Arabidopsis thaliana: one gene and its partner. The protein of the gene in region 1 interacts with the protein of each later gene in a pairwise test. Each region holds a gene or a part of one and is shown in the gene's direction. Other genes may lie near its edges. The genes, in order: AT1G26300 and AT2G27580.

Region 1 (6,395 bases):
TACTTATATAGATCATATAAAAAGAGAAATTGACAATGGTGTCATTTTTGTGGAAATGACAGGAGAAGGAGATACAGGAGGAAAACAGCATGCTTACCAAACAGGTGATCATTGTTTTTTGCATTTCTAACTGTTTCACTATTTACAATTCCACTGTTGAACTCCACTTCAATCTCTACCTTAAGCTACCATCTCTCCACTTTCGGCACCAACTCTTTTGAGTAAAAAGAATTGATATGTAGTTTCTTTTGATTGGTATAATCATGAGCCTAGCTGCACGTATAGGTAAGCTTTGTCCGTTTAGTATTAAGGTTGTCTCCCAGATTTGAACTTGAACTTGAACTGTCTTCTCATAATCATAGTCTATGTGTAAATTACACATACATTAGCTAGATAGCTAGGAGCTCTATTTAAGTTTTATTGAGAAGTAAGAAAACGTACGATGAAACTACTTGATTAAAGAACATATATTAAATGAAAAAATATCACAATAGTAAGACCTTGACGACGCTAAAATTCGCTTAACATTTTGCAGATTTAATTATTACTTTGCATTTTGTTTGAAAATATCATATTACAAAAAAAAGTATAAGAATAAAAAATTGAAGTTCCTTGAATAAATGCAAATAGCTGATTAGTTGCAAATGGGAATCTATATAAAGATGATGCTTATATCATTTTCTTGGCGTGTGTAATCGGTATAGATAAAGGAGAGGGAAAACATCCTAAGGACAAAACAAACCCAATGTGAGCAGCTGAACCGCAGCGTCGACGATGTACCACAGCCACAACCATTTCAACACCCCCATCTTTACATGATCGCTCATCAGACTTCTCCTTTCCTAAATATGGGGTAACGGCAGTATTTCTTGTTTTTTTAAGTTCTTTTTTCTTACCATAATGTCAAATTCTCATATATAGTGAAGTGTTCAGTCAGTCATATAGGCAATGATAGTGAATGCACTTCATATATAGGGTTTGTGTTAGGTATGGCGTTAGAGGTTGATGGTATGCATGCATATTATTGTATTATGATTTTAATTTGCTATATATGATTGTAATTTCAGTGGTTTGTACCAAGAAGAAGACCAAACGGCGATGAGGAGGAACAATCTGGATCTGACTCTTGAACCCATTTACAATTACCTTGGCTGTTACGCCGCTTGAATAGACTACATCGATCTATATCAATCTCTTTAAAATAATATAAGATCGATCCTCTACTCATGATCTATATTAAACACCGGTTAATTAATATATTTTTGGTATGTCCTTATATCATATCAACATGATCAAGCCTTTTTCCAATTCAATATATCTTGTATTTCGGGGAGCAATGAATAAATGTAATATTTGGGGACTGAGAGAGCTAGAAAGAATTGTTGTTCAAACCTTTTCTATATTGATCTCATCGTTACATTGTAATTTGATTTCTTTCACACAAAAAAAATATTTGTAATACGAATTTAGTCTTTGATGATTTGAACTTTACTTGGTCAAAGTAAATCACAGCCTTAGAAGGTAAATTTTGAATTGAAAATAGAAATAAAAATGTTGGGAACGTGACATTCGGTTTCTTCTCCATTTGCTTCATGTAGGTGCGTGATACGATCGGAAATGAGAATTATTGGGCCCTTGTGGGCTTCATAATTATTAGTTCATTGTTTAAGCCCATAATACTTGGCATTTTGCCAAAGAAGAAACTGTATAAAACAAATCGGAGAAGAAAAGAAAAATAGTAGTCGCAGCAATGGAGGATCTATGGAAGAGGGCAAAATCGTTCGCAGAAGAAGCGGGTAAGAAGTCTCAGACGATAACACAATCATCCTCCGCGACCTTCGTCAATCTCGTCACCGAGACTGCTAAGAAATCCAAGGAACTCGCTCTCGAAGCTTCGAAGAAAGCTGATCAATTCAATGCCGCCGATTTCGTTGCTGAAACGGCTAAGAAATCCAAAGAATTCGCTGCTGAAGCTTCAAAGAAGGCGGATCAGTTCAAAGTCGCCGCGCTGAAACAAGCTGATCAGATCCAGAACATCAAATCGATCGCTGATATAATCGGGACCGGGACCGGGTCAGGATCCGGTTCAGAAGCGGAGCTTCTCGAATTCGGTGTAACGGATGATTTGAGAGAGTTCGCTGAAGGCTTGACCTCTGCTACATTCCAAGCTTTTCCTGATCAAGGTATTTGTTGATTTTTGTTTCGATTTTGTTGGCTCTTCGTTTCGCTGAATGTGAGCTACTTGTATAGATCAAGGGGATGAAGTTTCCGATGTGATAACAAATGCTTCGAATGTTCGAAAGGATCTCTCGGATTGGCAAGAGAGACATGCCACTCTGGTTCTAACCTCTGTCAAGGTCAACTTTCAAATTCGAGATTTCATATGTTATATGACTTGTAGTGTCTACTCTAGGAATCTAGTTAGCTGATTTTGTATGCACATTGCACATTGTTGCAGCAAATCTCCAAGTTAAGATACGAACTTTGCCCTCGTTTCATGAAAGAAAGGAGGTTCTGGAGGATTTATTTCACACTAGTGAGCACTCATGTTTCTCCGTAAGTCTTTACCATCTCTTCTATAAATTTATGATTTTATAGAATAGCATTATTTTATCTCTTCTATATATTTATTTGATTCTTATTCTTAATCAGTTACCATGTCTTAATACACCGATAGCATTTCTTTGCTAAACTTTCTCCTAATCATATTATTGCTAATAAAAAAACTAATTGGATTTTAGGATTTGGTGTTATTTTGTTAGATGATAGTGTATGGTTGTAAAAGAAGATTTTGTTGTTACTCTTACAATCTCCATCGCACTATGTGATAAGCAAGCATAACTCTTATTTCATTCGTGTTTAAGTAGGATTTGCAGGAAGAAAAAGTGCAAACATAGATAGATACCAGCATATAGGCACAGATCCAGGCCAATCATTCTCTTTACCATTTCCATCTGAGCTCATGAGCCCTCGTTTGATTCTTCATCTTTTCTTTTCCTGTTTTATCTTCACCAACTGCTACAAACTTCTTTCTCTTGTCCGAATTCTCTGCCTTTTTCGTCTTTTCGTTGTCTACTTCCTTCTTCTTCTCTGTGATCTCAATCTTGGTATCTCCTTCCATCTTTATATTTATGTTCACCTCCAATACTCTCTTGCTCTTTCTCATTGAAACATCGAACAACTCCTCTCTTTCTCGTCTTTGTTCATAAAGTCGACGCAGCTTGAGTGCGAGATTGTAGATCCCGTCCTTGAATTCCCCTTCCAAATTTCTTTCGATTTCCATTTCTAGCTCATCGCGGATCCTCTCTTCGTCTTTAGACAATAAGAGTCTCCTCTCCGCCTACAATAATACTTATAAACAATGAGTAGCTGCTTTTCTTTCCATGATGAAGGTATAATGTACATATTTTTCTTACATTTTGTCGGCTATAGTCTTTGTGGTCCATGGCTCCACACTTCTCGCCTTGCGCATATATTTCTTTCCCACTAGATTAACAAATGGGGTTATAAAACAATATCGTTTTGACATTGACATATGTCTTGATGGAGTTCCTTGTGGGACTCAGTTATACAATAGTTGGTGGTCCAAATAAGGTTATAAAAAGTTCTTAATTGTATGGTTTTATGTGACCGTTAACAAAAGATCCTTGGAAACATTTACGCTCCAAATATATCTAATTGCGGATTCAGAAACTTTGTTGTGGTTGATTAAACTGAAACTGATGTCCTTTTTATATGTTGGTGAGAATAGTGCTTTACTTGTAAGGCTGCTATGGATTGCTTAAAAGTAGGATCTTTACGATCTGTGACTGAGATATTTAGAAGAAGATTGACATGTTTGTTTCCAAAGAAAAACAAAATTGATTGGATGTTGTCTCTAATTAATTTATTGTAAGTATACATAATATTTTTTATATAATTAGATATTATGTCCAATTAATATACATAAAATAATGAGTATTGTTTTTTTATATTGTAAATATACATAATATTAATATTAATTGCCAAAAAGCAAGTGTCAAAAATTTAATTATTTGTAAACCATATTGAACCTAGAACATCTCTTAGGGGTTTGGATATTGTATCCAATTAATTTACACAAAAATTTTAAAATTAACACTTATCAAAAAAACAAAAAAATTTAAGAAAAAAAACAAGTGTTAAAAATTTAATTATGTGTAAACCATATTGAACCTAAGACACCTCTTAGGAGCTTGGATGTTGTGTGTCCAATTAATTCACACAAAAATTAAAACTTAAAAGTGTTAAAAATTTAATTATGTGAAAATCATATTGAACTTTCTCTTAAGGGATTGGATAGTGTGTTCAATTAATTTACAAAAACTTAGAAACTTAACACTTATAAGTAAAAAACATTTTGGTTGCAAACTAAATTATTTGATTCTTATTCTTAATCAGTTACCATGTCTTAATACACCGATAGCATTTCTTTGCTAAATTTTCTCCTAATCATATTATTGCTAAGAAAAAAAACTAATTGGATTTTAGGATTTAATGTTATTTTGTAGATGATAGTGTATGGTTGTAAAAGAAGATTTTGTTGTTACTCTTACAATCTCCATCGCACTATGTGATAAGCAAGCGTAACTCACACTAGTGAGTTAGGATCGTAATTAAGGAATTGAGTAATGTGTGGACAAAGGGATTTGATAAAGAAGCCTGGTAATGCATTTAGGAGATCGTGAGATGAAAGAATGCCATTAGCTTAGACTTATATCTATAATGATGGTTTCAACAGTCCTTCATGTAGAGGATAGCAATTTGTTGATCCTTGCATCTCATCGATATGATATGTTATCTTGGTAGTTGGCTTGTTCTGAGGCATTCTTTTGTAATGACTTTATTCAGATATGAGAGGAAGTACATGGAGGAACTTAAGACCAAAGGAGAGCATGGAAATGAAGAAGCTAAGAAGGCTCCAGCGACTGGAGAGACAGAAACAGTAGAAAAGAATGTTGCAATCCGTAGAACATCTACTGCGTCTTCTGAGCAGGATCTGGATACATTCCTGTTGGGTGATCTAGAAGACAGTGATGAAGCTCCAGGTGAGAATTTCTCTTCTCTGCTCCCTACTTTTAACTGTGTTTAGGTTATCTTCCTCTTGTATCCACGTCACTAATTTTGTCATTATAAACGTATATCAAGTTGTTTGAATCAGCCAAGGCGTTGAATTTGGTTTTGTGTATACTGTGTCTCTAGCTCAGTTTAGCAGGATGTATAATCTATTAATTTGTGTTTAACCCCTTCCAGATGATGGTGATGGAAGCCTTGAGGATGACTTTGACAAGATTGGAAACTCAGTAAGCACCCTTTTACATTTCCGCCAAATGTAGACCTTGTTGTTCATGAATTCGGACTAAGGAACTTCCTATGCTGCGTGTTTACAGGATGTTGAAGACGAGAAGCAATCATCTAAAGCTACAACAAATGCAGGAAACGAAGTGTCTTGTTAGTTTTAAGTTCCAATTAGAAAAGGGTAAATGAAGAAGATGCTTGAAATGTATAGTTTTGATTTAGTAAGTGATGCATACGAAGACCTTGATTTCGCAATTCATATATGATTCATTTGTTTTGCCAAACAGTCCTCTGGTTCGTTTTGTACAGCACTGCTACCGATAAGTAGTCAATTACTTCAACTCTAAACTTCTCTAGTCTTTTGGGTTCACCCATCACAAATTCACAATGAAATCTATTCATGCTTTTCCGAATCTCGGTGCACTCTGAAATCTCCTAAGCAGTGCATTCATTATAGATTTATGAAGGAGTGTTGATGGCAACGTTGTCTCTGGCCTCAAACCACAATCTCAATTTTATTTCTTAGTTCCATATTTCGTAGATGCATTTTGAGTTTATACTTGTAACAATCGTTGGCGTTTGGTAAAACTTAAAAGGTAAACTCTAAACACAAGACAAACACTAGTTTCTTTCTCACCAAGCAACTCAATACAATAGTTTTAGTTGTAGACAATTCTTTTTGGTTCGGTGCTCTGTATGAGAAAGAACATCTAAACAATGGCCATGCGTGAGTAAAAAACAAGAGGCAGTCACAGCCAACGGATAGACCCGCCCATAGAGAGATAGTTTTGTCAGACGAAGAAACGACCAATTCTCGTTATCCCTCTAATATTATTATTCGTTTTTATATTGTTTAAATATATAGTAGGACAATGTATAAAGAACAAAAAGTGTATAAAAAGCGAAGACGGTCTACATCATTTCGGGAAAATATTCCACATGGTTTCATCACGAAACTAGGGGTACCTCTTACATTACATACGTGATACATTGCTGACACTTCATCAATAAAGACAATTTGTTTTGTCAAGTATTTCTTCATTATTTTATTTCCAAAGAAAAAAAATAAGAACCCCTTT
Region 2 (3,802 bases), on another chromosome or scaffold:
GTATCTCTTGTATAAAGAAGCACTAAGATTTAACAAATTGTATTGTTTGTGTTTCACTGTTCTTGTTCTATCATCAAGCACTAAGCTTTAACATTTGTTGTTCTTGTCTTTTCATTGCTTTTTGTTTGTTGCAGTCACCAAAAGGAGACATAAGTTACTTGCAGAAGTTCTTTTTAATGTATGTTGGTGGAAGACAACCTTTCCATTTCCAAGAAGATTTCTGCGGCACTGCTCTTTTAAGGTTGTTGTGTGTTTCACTAAATGGTACAAAATAATGTAGCTTTTGGTTTTCTTGCTTGAATAAGTTTTTACATTGATTGTTGGAATAGTGCGGAGTGGCTGAAGACTGACACTAGACGGACTGCTATAGGGCTTGATTTTGATCTTGAGGCGTTAGAATGGTGTATGGATAACAACATTAGTAAACTTGGTTCTGACGTGTATTCAAGAATGTCGCTTTTCCATGGGAATGTTTTAACTCCTCTTGAGGCTAAGCAAGTGAAATCTAAATCCCATGAGCTGATACAAAATATCAGCTTGGATGATGGTGATGATAATGAAGATTTGGCTGATCCGAGTGTTGTCGAATCTTTAGAGAAAGATGGACCTGATTCGTTGCCAAAGAGGGATATTGTGTGTGCTTTTAATTTTAGTTGTTGTTGTCTCCACAAACGCTCGGAGTTGGTTTCTTACTTCAAGAATGCACGTGACGCTTTGTCTAAGAAAGGTGGTATCTTCGTGATGGATTTATATGGAGGTGCTTCTGCTGAGGGACAGTTGAAGCTTCAACGGAAATTCCCTAATTTCACGGTAATAGTTCATTCTTGTACTTCATTCGGTAAAAAAGGGTGTCAGAGCCATAAATATCGAACTTACTAGAGATAACCGTACTAACGATTGTCCATATTCATTTGGCAGTATACATGGGAGCAGGCTGAGTTTGATATTTTAAGCCGCAAGACAAGGATCAGTCTGCACTATCACCTTCAGAAGCAGAACAGAAAGATTCGCCATGCTTTTTCATATAGCTGGAGACTGTAAGTGTCCTGTAGTCTACTTCCACATCCATTCTTTCTTCAAAGTGGGACAGTCATTACCCACAATCTCCCACAAGCCTTAAGAAAATATTACAGTTACAAAAAAACGAAGCATATTTGGTACTTAGGGGTTTGCTTAGCATTTTAGATAACTTGATAAGTGTAGGCTTTTGGTAATTTTGGTTGGCTGGGTGAGGTAGAGATTCTGTAGTGCAGCCACTATGGATCAAAACTTACACAAACATGTGCTCGAATGTTACTGATATCTAAATTCATATGTTAGTGACTTATCCTTGTGTTGGCTGGTAAGTAGCAGTGAAATGATATTGAATGTTATATTCGGGCAAGACAATATTCCTGCTTTCCTTATTGTCTGTAGATTTATTGTACTTGCACTCTTGAATCATTAAGTTCCTGAGAAGTAACTCCTGGATCTGCTGTTCATATATGTGTAGGTGGTCATTGCCGGAGATAAAGGATTGTATGGAGGAAGCTGGGTTTAGCTCAGTCCATTTCTGGCTCAGAGAAATGCCGGACGCTTCTGAAATGCGTAGAACAGATGGGTTTGGTGCTGGACGTGATATCAAGTACGAACAAGTCAAGAGCTTTCAACAGTGTGATTCTTGGAATGCTTACATTGTTGCGGTCAGCCTCTAGTTATGCTTTCTATCTTTTGATCAAAAGACACTAGCCCTTTAACTCAGATCCTTTGTCGATTTTACATCTAGTATTTATTTCTGACACGCACTGGTTTAGTTTCATGATTTCAATATTATTTTTTTGTCGTCTCATGATTTCAATTATCAAGCACAAAATTGTTAAAATGAATAGTGTAGGTGCTTCTGGAATCTTCAACGCTAGCCCAAAAGCCAAATAACACCATTTTCCACAAATTGTCCAATTTCCATCTTACGGCCAACAAAAAAAAGAGTAAAATAACAATTTAATTTTGTATCGATTGCGTCGTCGTTAGTTTTCCCATTTCCTCATAATTCTTCATCTCTTTCCTTTCTCATCTCTCGATTCCTTTCTTTCTTTCCATATTCCATTGATTTCTCTCTTCTTATAAAAATACAGATTCTCTCTTCTTAGAACCATCACCGATTCGAACAGATCTAATAAATCGTTTTTTTCACCAGGTAATGACTTGTTGTTTTCGCCGATCCATTAGTTTTTTCTTTCTGTTCTATAGTTTTGATGAGATTTAAGCAACAGATCTATTGATTTTTGATTCCATCGATCGGTTAATTTTGTAGATTTTTTTCGCCGGAGTTTGTTTTGATCCATTCTGTTATGGCGGAAGAACACAGACTTCAAGAACCACGATTATGTGCTAACAATTGTGGCTTCTTCGGAAGCACAGCTACACAAAATCTCTGTTCCAAATGTTTTCGAGATCTTCAACATCAAGAACAAAACTCTTCCACCGCCAAACATGCTCTTACCCAATCCTTAGCCGCCGTTGGCGCTGCTGCGTCTTCCTCCGTGTCGCCACCGCCTCCGCCTCCAGCTGATTCGAAAGAAATCGTTGAAGCGAAATCAGAGAAACGAGCGGCGGCTGAACCGGAGGAGGCGGATGGTCCGCCGCAAGATCCGAAGCGGTGTTTGACTTGTCGGCGGCGCGTGGGAATCACGGGGTTTCGGTGTAGGTGTGGTTTCGTTTTCTGCGGGACGCATAGGTACGCGGAGCAACATGAATGTTCGTTTGATTTCAAGCGGATGGGGAAGGATAAGATCGCTAAAGCGAATCCGATTGTGAAAGCTGATAAGCTTGAGAAGATTTGACTTTGTTGTTTGTTGTTTGTTGTTGTTGCTTTGGTTTTGTGCGTTTGAATGAAACACACATGAAGAAGAAAGAGCAAGAAACAAACATGTCAATGTAAATTTAAGCTTTATTTGATGATTTCTTCAGTTTGGTTATTAAATTTGCTTATTATTGATTTGATTGTTCCGTTTGATGATCTTGTAGAAGGCTTAAGTCGTATTATCAATGTGTAGAATTTGGATTTGGTTGATTGGTTCGTCATTACATTAGCCATTAGCCAATATGTAGAACAGAGAAAAGCATGACAACAACATAGGGTAGTCTTATTACAATGCATTGGAGAAAAGCACAAACTCAGAATTTCAAACCAGAATTTTGAAGTTTCTCTTGGATGATCATGTCGATTTTGTTCTCCATTTCAGGAGTCAAATAGTTCTTCCAATCACCGACTTCTCCTTTACGGAAAAATGTTTTGTTATCTCTACCTTCACATAATTTTCCGGTCTTATTGATCTCCAAACTGCTTAGATTACGTAGAGAGCAAAGATCTATAATCTCATCCACCAATCCGTTCTCTTCTTCTTCCTTAGTAAAGGAGAATCTAAGAACTCAGCAAGTCTCTTGATCTGCTCATGAGGTTCTGCTTTCATCTCCTCAAACCTCATGAAAAGGACATGATTTGGATCTTCCAAGCTTCTTCTCCAGTAGCTTAAGACTTGGTCCCAAAAAGGCCCAAAAAAGTTGACTCCCTTACAAAAAGACTCGAACGTTTCCTCGAAACTGGTTTTTACGTTATCATCATTAGAAAAGAAATGCCAATATTAAACCAATGTGTCTTTCATGTTCCTGCAAATATACACAACTTTACAAGTAGAATCTTTAAGCACTTCTTGCAGCGTATGAGACGGCATGTGTGTCGAGAACAGCCTCGGAGACGATGAGAACTTGGTCAGGTCCGGTTTTTCGCTATAGTAATTGAGATTCATTTTAAGTTAGGGGA

What was found.
Region 2: the proteins of AT1G26300 (region 1) and AT2G27580 interact in a two-hybrid assay, tested with the Arabidopsis thaliana proteins (one large-scale study listed by BioGRID).

Annotation. Positions count from the first base shown.
Region 1 is NC_003070.9:9,095,102-9,101,496, reverse strand, and holds AT1G26300 (BSD domain-containing protein), read left to right. Parts: upstream 1-1,731; 5' UTR 1,732-1,750; coding exon 1,751-2,183; intron 2,184-2,250; coding exon 2,251-2,357; intron 2,358-2,458; coding exon 2,459-2,556; coding exon of another isoform or gene 2,557-2,560; exon of another isoform or gene 2,561-2,941; coding exon of another isoform or gene 2,942-3,340; exon of another isoform or gene 3,341-3,416; coding exon of another isoform or gene 3,417-3,446; exon of another isoform or gene 3,447-3,854; intron 3,855-4,869; coding exon 4,870-5,066; intron 5,067-5,271; coding exon 5,272-5,321; intron 5,322-5,408; coding exon 5,409-5,474; 3' UTR 5,475-5,729; downstream 5,730-6,395. Other genes in the region: CAL (K-box region and MADS-box transcription factor family protein), read left to right, coding at 63-104, 705-853, 1,068-1,167; AT1G26290 (uncharacterized protein), read right to left, coding at 2,942-3,340, 3,417-3,446.
Region 2 is NC_003071.7:11,775,660-11,779,461, reverse strand, and holds AT2G27580 (A20/AN1-like zinc finger family protein), read left to right. Parts: upstream 1-1,908; 5' UTR 1,909-2,176; intron 2,177-2,293; 5' UTR 2,294-2,330; coding exon 2,331-2,822; 3' UTR 2,823-3,052; downstream 3,053-3,802. Other genes in the region: AT2G27590 (S-adenosyl-L-methionine-dependent methyltransferases superfamily protein), read left to right, coding at 135-241, 330-810, 919-1,037, 1,493-1,694; AT2G27570 (P-loop containing nucleoside triphosphate hydrolases superfamily protein), read right to left, coding at 3,157-3,322, 3,367-3,575, 3,630-3,746. UniProt on the Arabidopsis thaliana protein: May be involved in environmental stress response.